3 linked regions of the Schizosaccharomyces pombe genome follow. Changing the gene in region 3 together with the main gene of any one other region gives a genetic interaction. Each region holds a gene or a part of one and is shown on either strand. Other genes may lie near its edges.

Region 1 (3,020 bases), on a different chromosome or scaffold from region 3:
AATGGCATGCCTTGAGATACATGCCGTAACATTTTCAACAAAGCTACTGCTGAGATTTTGACAGAACGGAAAAACTCTGGGCTGTTATTGTTAGCATTACAGGATTTATAATTTTAATAAATTAACGTAGGGAAAAAAATTCAGAGACTGGTATAATATAGCTAAAAACCAATGAAATCTTAACTTACTCATGTTTCCACGGCGATTCACGAATTTTAGCCCTCTCTTTTTCTTCATCAAATCTAAAAACATTTTCGAGTTGATTATTCATTGCAATTTTGTAATTGTAGTCATTAAATACAGAAAATGAATCATTTGTGGTATGTGACGAAAAAATGTTGGAGAACTTTTCGAGTACAAGTAAAACTCGCTATAAAGACATATTTTTAGATAAAAATTTCGTTTATTTACTTAAGCATATTAGTTGATTAAAAGCATTTTAAAACATGAATTCTAGCCTGTAAAATGTATGTTTATTGAATTTCGAAAAGACAATATATTTTGCTTGGTAACTGGTATCTTTGAGAACTTGTTTTACTATGAATGAAAACAGACAATATAGTATTAGTTCATTGAAATCCTATTCACTGAATTTACACAATCGCCAATCCCTTGTAACATATATCATGAAAGAGACACACGAAGATGCTAAAAATCAATAAATCAAGGTTTACGAAAGAATGTAGATTCTAGTATTGTTGTTCAAGCAGGCTGTGACACTTATCTTTAGCATCAATTGTAACCTACAACCAAGTATATAAAACAGGCATCTATGGCTTGAAAACAAAAAGAAAACACGAGGAAATATTGTTTAATCTTTTTTAGTACACTAAGTCCATCATCATTAAGTCATTAAAGTGCGAGAATGAATCCCATAAATAAAATGAAGTTTGTCTCCATTGATAAACAATCTCAAGATATATGAATCCACAATTCGGCAAATTCTTCACGCGATACTTTACCATTAGTGCCAGCTAAATCGAGCATCAACTGAAGCTGTTCTTTAGTCAAATTTTCCCCTAGTTGAGCGCAAGATCTTCGAAGGTCTTCAAAGTCAATGTACCCTTTGTGTGTCACGTCAAAAAGATCAAAAGCCTCTTCTGCTTCTTCATCCATTTCAAGACGTTTAGTACTGACAGACATGGTTCCCCTAAACTAAAAAACTATTCAACAAGGAAACGCAAATGCAAACAAATGAGATAGTGCCAAAAATGCTAAAATGAACGAAATAACAGTAAAAAAAAAGAAAGGAATGAAAATCAGCGTCCGATGGCTAGAAGAGATATAATTTGTTCAACAGTTATCAAAAAAAGACTAGAAGTGAGTTAAAAATCCAAACGAAAAGACAAGGAGGAATAATATGAACAGATAGACAATCAAAAGTGGAATAACTGCGTTTAAATACTAAGTAATCAGGCTATTTGATGCAATTTGAAGGTGGTACAAATGGAAATTTCGTGGTGCGATAAAGTGGACGAAACTTGACCTTAATGAATATATGGTATAAAAACGTTAAGCTGAATTTTTTTTTCTAAAACTGCCAAATCAACAAGGATATTGAAGAGACAGTTGGAAATCTCAAAATTTATGTATAAAATGTGTTCAATTGACTTTATTTACGTGCCAAGCCAACCTACTAAGGCGTTATTAGCTAATATAATAAATTGACCGAAGCTAAGGTTGTGCGCAATATTTAAATAACAAAACACGTAATACAAGATTTTTGATGAGTTAATAGATCGACTTGCAAAATGGCTTTAATGATGTAGGCTATCAAGCATAATCTCCTTTAGCGGTGTGGCATACTAATACTCGTGTTATATATTATATATGAATGTTTGACATTATTTATACACATTCATTTTTTAAGGATTCTTACTTTGTTTATGTATTTTTTAACATATTTGAGATGCTTCTGAGACATTGGTTCGCTCTCTGATTTCGTAGTTTTTCCATTTTTTCCTTTGAGACAGGGAGGGATACGCGATTTGCATATGCTAGTATAAATTTGTCTCCCTGTGAATGTTCCATTATTTACTGTATATGAATTGCGACAGCAGTTGCTACTGAAAGGTAGGAGCACAATTCTGATGGCATTTGAAAAGTCAAACTTCCTACTAGATTTTATGTGAATTATTTTAAAAAATATGTTTTTCTTTTCTAAAATCCACATCGAATTCAGTGTTTGCTCTAGCAGTTTCAAAGTATATCACTCTAAATTCGGTAACACTATTCAATATAACGGACTGGAGGAATTAAAACTCACAATGTGATAATCGCGTATACGTAAGATGGTTAATAACCATGAATTCAATTTCTCAAGCACGAATTTTTCATTAATATACGTACTTTTTTATGGTTATTGTAATAAATAAGAGGAAAGAATGAACCCTCTTTTCTTTGATACTTGCGCCGAGAGTTTACAGTTTTATGATTTGCTCATGTCCCGTAATGTTACCTCTTAGAAGTACGCACTTTGTATCATGCTACTATACCCCAGAGATTATTCTATGGTAGAACTTCCTCCACTACCACAACCCGTACTCCACGTTCATCACGCCAAGAAAACCTCCTTTTTAAGTCCTCTGATAGCTTTTTTTTCATTTTGTAATTTAACATTTCTGTATCATCATCCATAATGAATCATGGTACTAAAAGTAAGTTGGCTAACTTCGATAGTGCTGTTGTTCTAACCGTATAAATAGTTCCTGTGGACCCCTTTCGTATTATAAAGGAAACCGCTCGTGATGGGTCAACGGGAGAGGTGAAGCAACTTTCTTACACTTCGAGTAAAGTTGTGGGCTCTGGAAGCTTTGGCGTGGTCATGCAGGTTCATTTAATTGAATCAGACAGCAAAGCCGCTATAAAACGCGTTTTGCAAGATAAACGGTTTAAGGTATGTATTTTTATTGAATGCAAAATGCGAAAGGAAGGGTTAGATTTTACTTTATTTTTCTGTGAAAACCGCACACTTTTGTTTACGCTGAAGATACGTAGCGCGCGTGCTTCGTCAATATACG
Region 2 (3,796 bases), on a different chromosome or scaffold from region 3:
CAAGCTGAAGAGGAAAATTAATTTTGACTTGAAATTAAAGCTGGCCTTATTCTATGTTTGTTCACTCTCATTTATTTTCCTTCATCCGTCAAATTTGTTGAATAATTGTTCGCACTATTTGCTTGTGAATGAAATCTACATAATAGCTCTTCCCATTTTTATGGCTGCTATAACCTAAAACTGCTTGACCTTGTTCAACTATCTCTTTGGGACTTTCTCATTTTTCTCATTTATGACCTTATTGATAAAATTTTTGTAATTTTCTACTTGCTGCACGGAAACGAATTGTTTTGTTGTGCGTCTTTTGTTAGAAATAACAATTGCCTTTTTTACAAAGCTGAGTTTTTTCTAAAAATCATTTTAGTTAATCGGTTTGCACGTTTAATATAATTTATTTTCCTTTTAGAAATTTTGCTTCGATTTTTACATATTAGTTTAGATACAAAATTGATGCACATTATCACTTTTAAATATATTTTCTAACAAACAAGAGTATTCATATTTATAATCATGTAAGGATTTTAATAAGAGATCATATTGAATAAGCTTAAATTATAAGGATTTGGTTCTAAGTCGATCATCGAAAGTTTTTAGAATGACGGTGTTTGATACCCTAATTAGTCTTCATGAATACAATTATTTCAGGTCTGAATTGAGTTATGACTTAAAACTTTTCGAAAATAGGAATTAACAGAAACAACAATGATAAATGGAAATGCAGTGGGTCATTCAAAAACCATGTAATTCAGACAAATATTAAAAGCGAGAACTACCATCACTAAGATGTGGAAATCTCTTAAATGGTGAGCTGCTGTCACGACTAATTCCGCTGTCATGAAGATGATGAACACTTCTTCTTTGAAGCGCTATAGGGGTACGGGGTGTTGAAGTGAGATGATCATGTGAAGAACTTCGGTGTTCAAGGAAGGTATCTATGGGTTTTCGGGGTGTGAAATATTCAATAGATGCGGTTGTGGGACCACGAGTAGTATTAATGGCAACATCTCGTTTAACTACCGAAAGTCGAGGTTCTACAAATTTCTTATCATACTCAAAGAATACCTGGCGATGAAGATATTGTTGATCTTTCAGCAGTAAGGAAAATTTATTGACAAAATGCAATGTTGTAAACGAAAGGAGAAAAGTCAACAAAGTCACGCGTAGAGAAGTGCTATAAAACCATAAAATCAAGGCATGAGCAGGAGAAAATAAGCAAGCAAAATTTAGTAAAAATTGATTTGGGCTCCATACTTTCAATTCAAAAACTTGTTCATCGCCATCATCATTATTTGAGTGCTGGAAAACTGGTTTTACATTGGGAGTAGAAGTCGTCGTGCGTTTGTCTTGAGGCAAAGTTCTATACAGCTTATTTTGAAATCGAGTGCTAAATATGAAATTGAGAAAGCTGATGAAAAGAAAACAAATTGAGAGAAATGATAGGAAGGCACGAAACCAGGACCTAGAGGTGTTGATGGACTGCTTATCCACAAAGAGCTGGTTGCGTTGAACTGGTACATGCGTACTTTTTATATAAATGCGCATTAAGAGAAAAATAAAATTGACAGCCAAGCTAAAGGGAATCGAATAACGATCTGATACTTTATCCCACTCTACACTGTCAAATTGTTCGCAAACATAGATAAAGTAATCGATCGGAAGATTGATTATTTTAGAAGTCAGCGATGTACGACGGATTAACTTTCCCATTGAAAAGATTTTTAAGCAATGTTTTGAAATTCAGGTGTACTTTTTGAGTATAAAACAACGCCGAATTAGAAATGAAACAAACCATGGACCTGAAAGGTAAATTCCGATATTCGTATACTAATGAACGAAATTAGGGCACTTCTCCGTTTCAGGATTCAAACCTTACGTATTAATTAGAGTAGCAAAGGCTTTTTAATTAGCTAGGTCGAGCTTGCTATTATCGACTTCAATTGCAACAATGAAGGATAAAAAGTTTTTTATTAAGATAACTTTTTAAATCCGGTACGTAAACAAGTGTGCAATAAAAAAGAAAAAAAAAAGAATTTGCTTTCGCAGGTTGATGTTCCTAAGTATTGGTGTTATTGATGGTTTCAACTTTACCACTACTACTGCTGTGCAAAATCAGTCGTCGATTTAAAATTCCTATTTTTAGGAAATATAAGCTCGATCAGTGACATAAATTTAAACAGTTTCGTTTGACGTTTTACTAATTAATGAATTATTTCCTTAAAATTTAACGGCTGAAGTTTTTTTTGACTTATGTTTATTGTCTCTTATTAATAGTGATGCATGTGGTTTAACTTTTTATTTAATAATTTATTTTCATGTTATGTTTCAGATTTAAATTTTTTAAATCTTTATTTCACGGTTGAAATCAAAAGTAGTTAATATAGCTCATAATATTCAGCAAACAAACTACTCGCCATTCTTGCGCAGTTGATACTGACCTCTTTTTCAAAGGACTTTTTAATAATCATCATCACAGCCATTGTTAGAATTTTGCTTTCTTGTTGGAGAGATTGCTTGAAATAATAATTCTTTAACTAAGAATATATCAGATGTGGCTGTGATTACAACTTTTTATTCAATTTATCGTTATTGATATTATTTGAACCAGCGGTTAAACAAGCATTATCCTAAAGTTGATTCAATTCACATAAACTCTTTGCTCAATGCCACCCAAACGCAAAGCATCCAAGAACTCTGTTCGCGGAAGGAAACGTAGGACACGGACCAATAACTTACCTCTTAATCCTGAAGTGAAAGAGGAAACTGTTGTATCTTCAACTCACCGTCAAACTCGTAGCCAGTCGAAAAAGCCAAGTTTGTCTTCCTCAGCGGAACCTCCTTCTGAGAGTTTAGATGACAATATATCAGCGTTAAACTCACTTCAAAGGAGCGCATCTTCATCCGAAAAAGGTTCCGATGAAGACAATGAGAAGTTAGGCAGCTCAGAAGATGACGAGTTTGACGACGATTTTGACACTTGGGAACAAGTTGATCTTTCTCCTAATAAACAAGAAGATAAAAAAGATTTACACATAGTCACACAGCATATCACTCCTCAACTTACAAAAGAATCGAAGAAAGGCTCTTCTAGTGCAATGGATAAAAGCATTCGATTATCTATTCACATTATGCACTTTACTTGCTTGTTGTACCATGGGTCAGTAAGGAATCGCTGGTTAATGAATTCCTTACTTCTTGATGGGCTGCGCGATTTGCTTGTCGAAAAGCAACCGTCCGTAGTGGAGGCGTGGGTTTGTAGTAGCCAGACGCACGAGGATTTGTTAAAATTGTTAAATGGGCTTCGGATGTGGTGGAATAAATCTTTTAAAATTGAGAGTCATGGGCTTCGGAAGTTGGGGTATCGTACTTTGAAACAAGGATTTGATATCGGCTTTTCGCCAGAAATATTTCATAACTTTCATGAATACCAAGCATCCTTACTTTCGCTAAAAGGAAGCCGGGATTTGGCGGCACAGGGATTTACTGCTCTCTGTCGATCTCTGAATCTGAAAGCAAGACTTATATTTTCTCTTCAACCTTTGACATTTTCTACTGCTTCCTATGATGATTGGTCTCCACATATCCTCCCTGAAGAAACTAGTACATCTATAGATGACGACCTCCGCTATCCTATTTTTTGGACGGAAATCTATGATCAAAGTGAGAAGAAATGGATTGCGGTAGATGCGGTTGTCTTGAATGGGGTATATACCAACGATATGACTTGGTTTGAACCCAAAGGAGCGTATGCAGAGTCAAAACATCTACGAATGGGTATTGTTGCTGCATATGATAACGA
Region 3 (7,755 bases):
GTCCATAGCGGCCATCTCCACGCAGTATCCGAGTGTTCAGTAACCAGGCTACTGATAATAGGACCAAAGTCAGCTCCACTAACGACGAAAAACGCATAGAAAATCAACGCAGTACCTCTCTGTGCCGGGCACCAAAGATCCGCCATCACACCTCCTGAAGATACGACAGGGGCGCCAGCAAACAGGCCAGCAAAAAATCGTGTACACATGATGGCCGCCACGCTGTCAGAGCTGGCAGTTCCTATTGTGAAGAGAATGGACAGGAAAAAAGGAACTAAGACGCCGATTTTTCTCCCATTCACTTCAGAGAAGGGCGCAAAAATCATAGGACCAAATGCGATCCCCAAAATGTATAAACAAGTGGGTAAAACGGCAACCTCATGACCAATTGGATATGCATTGACGAGATGAGAAGTAGTAGGTGACATGGTAGTACTATTGAACTGTGCAGCAAATGTTGTCAATCCATAAAGTGCTGTATTCAATAGTTTAATTGAAACTGGCCAATTCAACGGTTTCTCAGGATCGTCTTCGCCATTGAATGTTACAAGAAAATCGCTGTCAGGATAGGAGTATAATTCCTCCTCAACGTCTTCATCGCACTTCTCTATTTCGGAGGATGAGACGCTGTTCAAATGATCATTTTCTTTCATTGTTATAAGAAGGAAATTAATCACAGACGATGTCTAACACTTTTTCCTAGTTATATTTTTCGTAAACCTCGGTGTTAGTGCTTTCAGAGCTGCTATTTCATCCCAGTCTAGTTATTTGTAAACAGCAAATTCAGTACGAGGCCGAAATTTTCATTATTGTTGACAGCCTCAGCATCGCCCATACCATCTATCTAGTCTGGACTCTAATGTTAACAAAAAAGCATTTGCTGTAAAATATTATGTTAAAAAGGTTAGAGATACCTCTTTAATATAAATATTTTCCCAAAGGCACATTTTTTACCATACAGCTTATAATTATATAACTGCATACCATTATAAAATATGTCTTCACATAACCCATCTTTACAGTACCACACTAAGTTACCAGATTTTGATAAGATAGGGGTCCTAATGCAAGTAGCTGTAGTGGAGCTCACATTGTATAGAACTTGAGCTCACATCGGTCCATCCTAGCAATAAAGCAGCATAGAAGGTCAAAGAAGCAATTTTGATTAAATGTAAAAAAAAAAAAATGCTGCGTGGATGCATTACTTTTCCAGCTTCACTAGGCCAATGTCCCTATATGCTGTCCATGGAAAACAACACTCTATGCACTTGAATTTTCCAGTTGGGGAAAGAAAGAGAATGCGCGCTGGGTGTGATAGAATTGGAATAGTGCTGGATAGATAGTTGGTATTTTTACTATGTTTATTTTTTTTAACGGTTTTTTTCCTACGAACCTTCATAAGAGTCATTTGAAAATACTCCTATTTTATTATGGAACAAAAACACGCTCAAATCATTTTCGCATTCTTATAAATATTTCAATTCGCAAGTATCTAGGGATGAGGTTCAAGACAGCGACTGCGACAATGCAATTCAATTCCATTCCGTAGGAAAAACGAAATTGTACATTTTCACCAAAATAAGAAGACCTCTATCATCATAAGTTCCTCTTTTTTGTTTAATTTCGGCCTATATGCTGCCCTACATGCTTATGGGGATTTTAAAAACGGAATTGCCGTTTTCTTCAGAACCCAACATCCGTCTTTATATTATGCGAGGCTGCTTCTTGATAAAATCCAACAACTGAAAACAATCTTGTTCCTCTTGGATAAGGGATATTCTTAAAACACTCAATGCTTGCGTATCATCGCATCCCTTCCAAATACATTTGGTTCAGGTATTTGTTTACATCGTCTTTAGCCTTTCCAGTATGACTGTGGAATCAAAGTCATAACGAAAAACATAGAAAATTATTTTCATAAATGTTTTTTTTTACAAAATAGAGAAACTCATAAACGCGGAAATAGACTATTTACTCTTTCCAATATTGTGGCTTTCTGCGCGGACTAAATACAAATTACCCTACCCATTATCTCGCTTAACGGTATGCACCTTTTCATTAAACAATAATAACGGCGCGTAAACTTTTGGTAAATACAATAACGTATTACGTTAAATTTCGAAATAGAGGTTTTCTTTCAGTCTTTTCCACACTACAAGTACATGTCTTTATTACAAAAAGGCGTTCTTTCAATCTTGAATAGCCATTGAATCTTTGTATTACTTTAGCTTTTTTTCCCTTTTATTAAGTTTTCTTTCAAAGCAATTGTTTTTGGATTCGCAAACTCCATATTATCGGGTTTCTCTTTTTTTGTTCGTGGGTAATTAGGCTTCATTTTATTTATTATCAATCATCAATTCAAAAGTTTTTTTCGTTTAAGAAATTTTAACATCCCTTTTCTATTTTTATCGGGTTGTATCGGATTTTGTTTATTAACCCAATTCTGATTGTGTATTTTCATCCTCTTTCTCCATTATTTGTGATTCCTCCTTTATCATCGGTCTGTAATGGAAACAACTGAAGGAAAAAATGACTTACGAGCAAAGCTTGCTGAAAAGATTCAGACATTTCGCTCTCAAAGAAAAGCTACTGAAAAAGTAGACCGTGCTCTACTTTTACAGCGCAGAAAAGAAAAGGCAAAAGCTCGTGCTGAAGCGAAGAAGTTAGCTAAAAAGGAGTCAAAGGCTAAACAGGAATCAAAAGTGGCAGCTTATGACACTGGGAACTCTTCTGATAACATTGCTGACGAGGAAAATGACAACCACAAGAGCACTATTACTTATGGTACTTTAATAGTCGGAGATGACAAATTCTCGAATGGTAAACTAAAAGTTGCCGGAAAAAAGCGAGGTCCTACTGATGTCTTTGGCGCTCTAAAGCATTTGGAAGCCAAGAAACGCCGTATTGAAAGCATGGACGAAGAGAAAAGGAGAAAAATTGAAGAAAGTGATAAATGGCATAGAGTTTTGCTTCAGGCAGAAGGGAAAAAACTCAAAGATAACGAGCAATTGCTTAAAAAGAGCATTCGTCGCAAAGAAAAGGAAAAGAAAAAGTCTTCAGACGCTTGGAAGGAAAGGAAGGACAACGAAAAAAAAGCAATGTTAATGCGGCAGCAACGTAGAGAAGAAAATTTGAAAAAACGTAGAGAAAGTAAAAAGTCTAAGAAGGGGAAGGCACCAAAAAAGAAGAAGCCATCCAAGAAAAAATAGACGCTTAACTTTAAATTTGTTCAAAAATTATACTGGTCTGTTGGGATTTAATGGTTAACAAGGAGGTTTGGGTTTAAATAGCTTTTTTTGTCATTTGATTATGAATGAATACATAAATTTACTCATACAAACAGTAACACTGAAACAAAATTCTGCCTTAAAAAAGAAATAGATAATCAATGCGGTGTGATGATAATTGCTTTTTATTAACGAAAAAAATATGATATAAAAATAATATACAGAAATCGATTGACAGATCTTCAGGTCACTACATATGTATAATTATGGGATGCTACTAGTTGGAATTGATTTCTCTGGTTCAGCTTGATGTTCATCAACGGGTAAGGATGCATTCTGAGAAAGAACGATGCTTACTTGTTGAGTAGGTTTCGAAACGACAGAAGCATTGCCCTGATCAATAGGTAGGGAGGTCGAAGGTTTGAGTTCCTCCGTAGAAGGATTAGTTAAAGCACTTGGAGGAGAAATGTGCTCATTAACAGTAGCGGGAGAATGCTTTGGTTCAGAGAGAGGTGGTATAGGGGGTGTAGATGTAAGAGGTGTCTCAAGTTTAACAGCCTTTTTGGTATTTTCTCCCGTACTTTGTTTGGGCACTGAAGAGGATGTCTTTTTTGTGGCTTTCTCTTTGCTTTTCGTTGTTTTTGCTTCCTTCTTAGAGACATCCTTGGGAACCTTTGCATTTTCCCGTTTTGCCTCTTTTAAAGCATTCTTAGCAGCCATTTCAATGGACAAAGTCCTTAATGGCTGCTCGTCCTCAGATTCAATATCCCTACTATCGTCAAAGCTAGCATCCGCTGAAGCCACCACCGCAGAGACAGCTGGCGCAGGGTGTGTAGCATTGGATAAAGATGTTTTCTTCTTTTTCTTAGTCTTCTTTGATCTTTCGATTTTCACAGTATCTCCTTCGGCCACGAGTGGACCGCTAAATACAAAAAATCCATCTTTGGTAGCGGCAGCCTTCTCTTCAATGTAGAGCTCAGCATCATCAATAAAGGGATCTGTTCTATCGTAGTATTCGTCAGCGTACCTCCTTTTCCTTTTCTTTTTCTTTATGGTCTGTGTACCATCGGCCGCCCCATTAGCTGCTTGTTGCTCATCAACATGTGTACTTTCGCCCTCAGAATCCGCTGAGTCTGAAAGATCATTTTTTTTTGAATTCTCCTGAACAGAGGGTCCATAAAGTTTTTCCACTTCTTTTGCAAAATTAATATGTACGTTTTCTTTGCCTTGCAAAGGAATTTCCAAGCAAATAATTCGTTGGTCGCCAGACAAAAGCGACATGACGAACAAAAGCGAAGTATAGTGAAAACGTAGAAGAAAAAATTTGCAAGGAAAAGTAATCCTAACAAGCGAAAATGGTAGTTTTAATTACAATTGAGTCCAAGACTTAGTGCCGTCGTTTCACTGAATCCAATGGATAAGTTAATAGAAATTTTCAATTCAAGAGCACTCTTAACAATTGAACAAGGCTAAGAGTTGATAGCATTAAAGAAACAAACTGCAGACCAAAAAATGAGAAATTGGACGCTTGCACTTTTTTGTAACTGAATAAATGATAAGTTCTGCGACGCTGCGTCAAATTTCTATAAGAGAGTGCAACAACAAGTGATTGAACTAGAAGCAACAAAAAATGCAAAGTGGTTAAATGATAAACAATAATTTGATTAGGAGGATGGTAAAGTAATACTTTATTTGGTAATAACTTTGAAACGAGTACGAACAATTCCCACAGTATGGGGATAGATCAAGTAAATAGCACGTTATAATGCAACTTATACTGAACAACATTAGCGCAGCAATCCTCACTTTCTTAAAAGTAAAGGGCAAAAAAGAATGCTCCTGGTGAGGCTCGAACTCACGACCTTCCCCTGTCATTATATGAGAGGGATGCTACCACCGACTGAGCTACAGAAGCTTGTGGTACACAGAAAAAAGTTACATTATATATAGGGTAAATTTATTAATTATATGAAGAGATAAATTATCATTTCTAATTACTATACGTATATATGAGTTTGGAGATTTTCAATGGAAAGAAAGGAATGAAAATGATTAATTGATCTGAATTTTTTGTTTTTAAGGAAAACTTTATTCATGGAAATTGGGTATTCAGTTGGCATTGCTTTATCAATACTCCACTACTAAGTAAAGAAAACTGTTCATGTGTGCACAGTATCATGACTACAGAACTGTATGAATGGGAAATTGTCATTTTAATCATTTAAGCTCTTAATAAACAAATTGTACTCAATATAAGCTTACTTCTCATAATCATTTCTCCTAAATAGCTAGCTGCTCCCCAATTCGTTATTCCCTTTCTACTGCAGGTCGCATTCATTGTAGTATAGACATTTGCGACTCTATCGAAGAATAAAGTCATAACATCCTAGGAATTTTTTTTCAACGAATATTTTTATTCGTAATTTTCTAGATTACAACTCCTGATCTACCAAGGCAAAAAGAAACCATCGTTTGCTTTAGTGCCAACAAAACATATACAGCAGTGGTTTATAGTATATTGTGGTTTTCGTTACAACTCACCATCCTTTTATTAAAAATTTAGCAGGAAGTGGTAGTTAGTTCATTTTTTTGATTTTTAGAAAAATTCATGTCGAATACACATTTGTTAAAGAAAGTTAACGAATTATTGATTCAGCCGGTGAACCAGAAATTACCCGACATCTCTTTTTCTTTCGTTGTGTGATTATAACAGTGCTTCAGACATATTTTGTTCGTCTATTATTCGACTTTTAGAATGTAAACATGTGAATACGCAAACCTGCTATTGTACGAGGAATTTATTTGCTCAGTGTACGAGACCCTGGCCTTTTTCATCACTAATACTTGGCTACGCATTGCTCCTGCTGTCATACGGAATTTCGAACAAACCAGATGCAAAATGCATTTCGTAGCCACATTACAAGTTTAGGGGTGAATTAGCAAAAAATAAGTCGTTAGCTATATGAACTTGCTGCATCTAGAATACCAATAGGCAATGAAAAGAGCTATGCCGTCTAAGGAGAAAATTTCTGTAACTGACATGGAAATAATTAATCAGTGGACGTTGCACTTTACTTAATGTTTACGTAAAAAACCGATAAACGAAAATTTATCGAAGAAATACTAATATTTAGAGTCCAAAAAAAAGACATAAAAGGATGGTCTTCACCGAAAATCCAAACAATTTCATCGAACTCTTTCTGTCTTCAAGGAGTTATACATTGTAAAGCACTATACAAACTATTTTTAACTCAAAAATGCCTGCTAAAACTAGAAATGTCTTAATTGCTTGCTCTGATTATTATGGACCATTTTATAAAGATGGTGAGAATACTGGAGCATTTTTTTTAGAATTGTTACATCCTTATTTGGTATTTAGAGATGCTTGTTTCAATGTTGACATTGTTACTGAATCAGGGAAAATCCAATTCGATGATCATTCAGTAGCAGGTCCGGCAATTGACAAGGGATCTAAGGGTGAAGAGTTTTTGAGCTATGATGATCACATCGCAAGTGGCCCTGAGCTATCCAAAGCTGAAAAATATGTTTTGGAAAATAAGGATGATATGTTTTGGAGGATTGTGCAAAATTCCAAAACCGCCGACGAAGTGAATCCTGACAAGTATGACATTTTCTTCGTAGCAGGAGGACATGCCACTCTATTTGATTTTCCAAAAGCTACAAATTTGCAAAAACTTGGTACTTCCATTTATGAAAATGGGGGAGTAGTAGCTGCCGTGTGCCATGGTCCTACATTACTTCCATTCATGAAGCGTCAAACGTCCGACGGCTCTGTTTCAATTGTCTGTGGTAAAGATGTTACCGCCTTCGATAGGGTGGCCGAGGATAAATCCAAACTTATGGAAGCGCTGAAAAAATACAACTTGGAGGTTTTGGACGATATGTTGAATGATGCAGGAGCCAACTTTATCAAGTCACCAAACCCATTCGGTGATTTTGTAATAGCAGATGGAAGATTAGTTACTGGTTCCAATCCTGCAAGTGCTACATCTACGGCGAAAACGGCTTTGCGTGTTTTGTAAAGCGAAACGATAATAAAGCTATTGGATAATGAGTCTTTTTAAACGATTAATTTGAACGTATGATGAAATTTATGTATACAGGAAAAATTAATGATGCGAACATAATTTGACGCCGATGAATAATAACACTCAAAATCATTGATGATATTTAAAGTGGATTACATACACTAGAAATGAATAAGATTGAATATATACTATAAAAAAAAATTTGTCAGAATTTTTCAAAAAAACGATTTCACATTTATGAATCTATATTGATATATACTTTCATTCATCTGTAAATACAAAACACCGTAGCAACAAGCAACAGTACCACAAATCGCTCCTTCGAACACTTTCAAGTTTTTCTGCCATGACCTTCTTTATGGAAGACTTTTCCATCTATACTTATAAGAACATCGCCTCTGAATAGATACAGCTACTTATTCAACTGAAAAAGAAATTTACATTTCTTTAAAAATTGGGGAATCGTTTAATATTTCCTA

What was found. Genes that interact genetically often act in the same process or in processes that back each other up.
Region 1: mutations in hip4 (region 3) and SPOM_SPAC1687.14C together harm fitness more than expected from each alone (negative genetic interaction), as found in Schizosaccharomyces pombe (2 studies listed by BioGRID).
Region 2: mutations in hip4 (region 3) and nur1 together harm fitness more than expected from each alone (negative genetic interaction), as found in Schizosaccharomyces pombe (2 studies listed by BioGRID).

What each region holds. Positions count from the first base shown.
Region 1 is NC_003424.3:927,301-930,320, forward strand, and holds SPOM_SPAC1687.14C (calcium-binding protein), read right to left. Parts: upstream 1,371-3,020; 5' UTR 1,144-1,370; coding exon 913-1,143; 3' UTR 501-912; downstream 1-500. Other genes in the region: COP9/signalosome complex protease subunit Csn5, read right to left, coding at 1-81, 189-271; SPOM_SPAC1687.23C (uncharacterized protein), read right to left, coding at 1,859-2,173; serine/threonine protein kinase Gsk3, read left to right, coding at 2,639-2,657, 2,706-2,896.
Region 2 is NC_003421.2:449,709-453,504, forward strand, and holds nur1 (protein nur1), read right to left. Parts: upstream 2,056-3,796; 5' UTR 1,708-2,055; coding exon 757-1,707; 3' UTR 501-756; downstream 1-500. Other genes in the region: SPOM_SPCC4G3.12C (ubiquitin-protein ligase E3), read left to right, coding at 1-21; DNA repair protein Rhp42, read left to right, coding at 2,661-3,796. UniProt on the Schizosaccharomyces pombe protein: Has a role in meiosis.
Region 3 is NC_003423.3:655,838-663,592, reverse strand, and holds hip4 (histone H3.3-H4 chaperone, HIR complex subunit Hip4), read right to left. Parts: upstream 4,969-7,755; 5' UTR 4,509-4,968; coding exon 3,492-4,508; 3' UTR 3,362-3,491; downstream 1-3,361. Other genes in the region: SPOM_SPBC947.06C (spermidine family transporter), read right to left, coding at 1-653; rrp1402 (ribosome biogenesis protein Rrp14-C), read left to right, coding at 2,508-3,209; hsp3103 (ThiJ domain protein, glyoxylase III), read left to right, coding at 6,485-7,270. UniProt on the Schizosaccharomyces pombe protein: Component of the HIR complex, which functions as a histone chaperone that cooperates with cia1/asf1 to promote replication-independent chromatin assembly.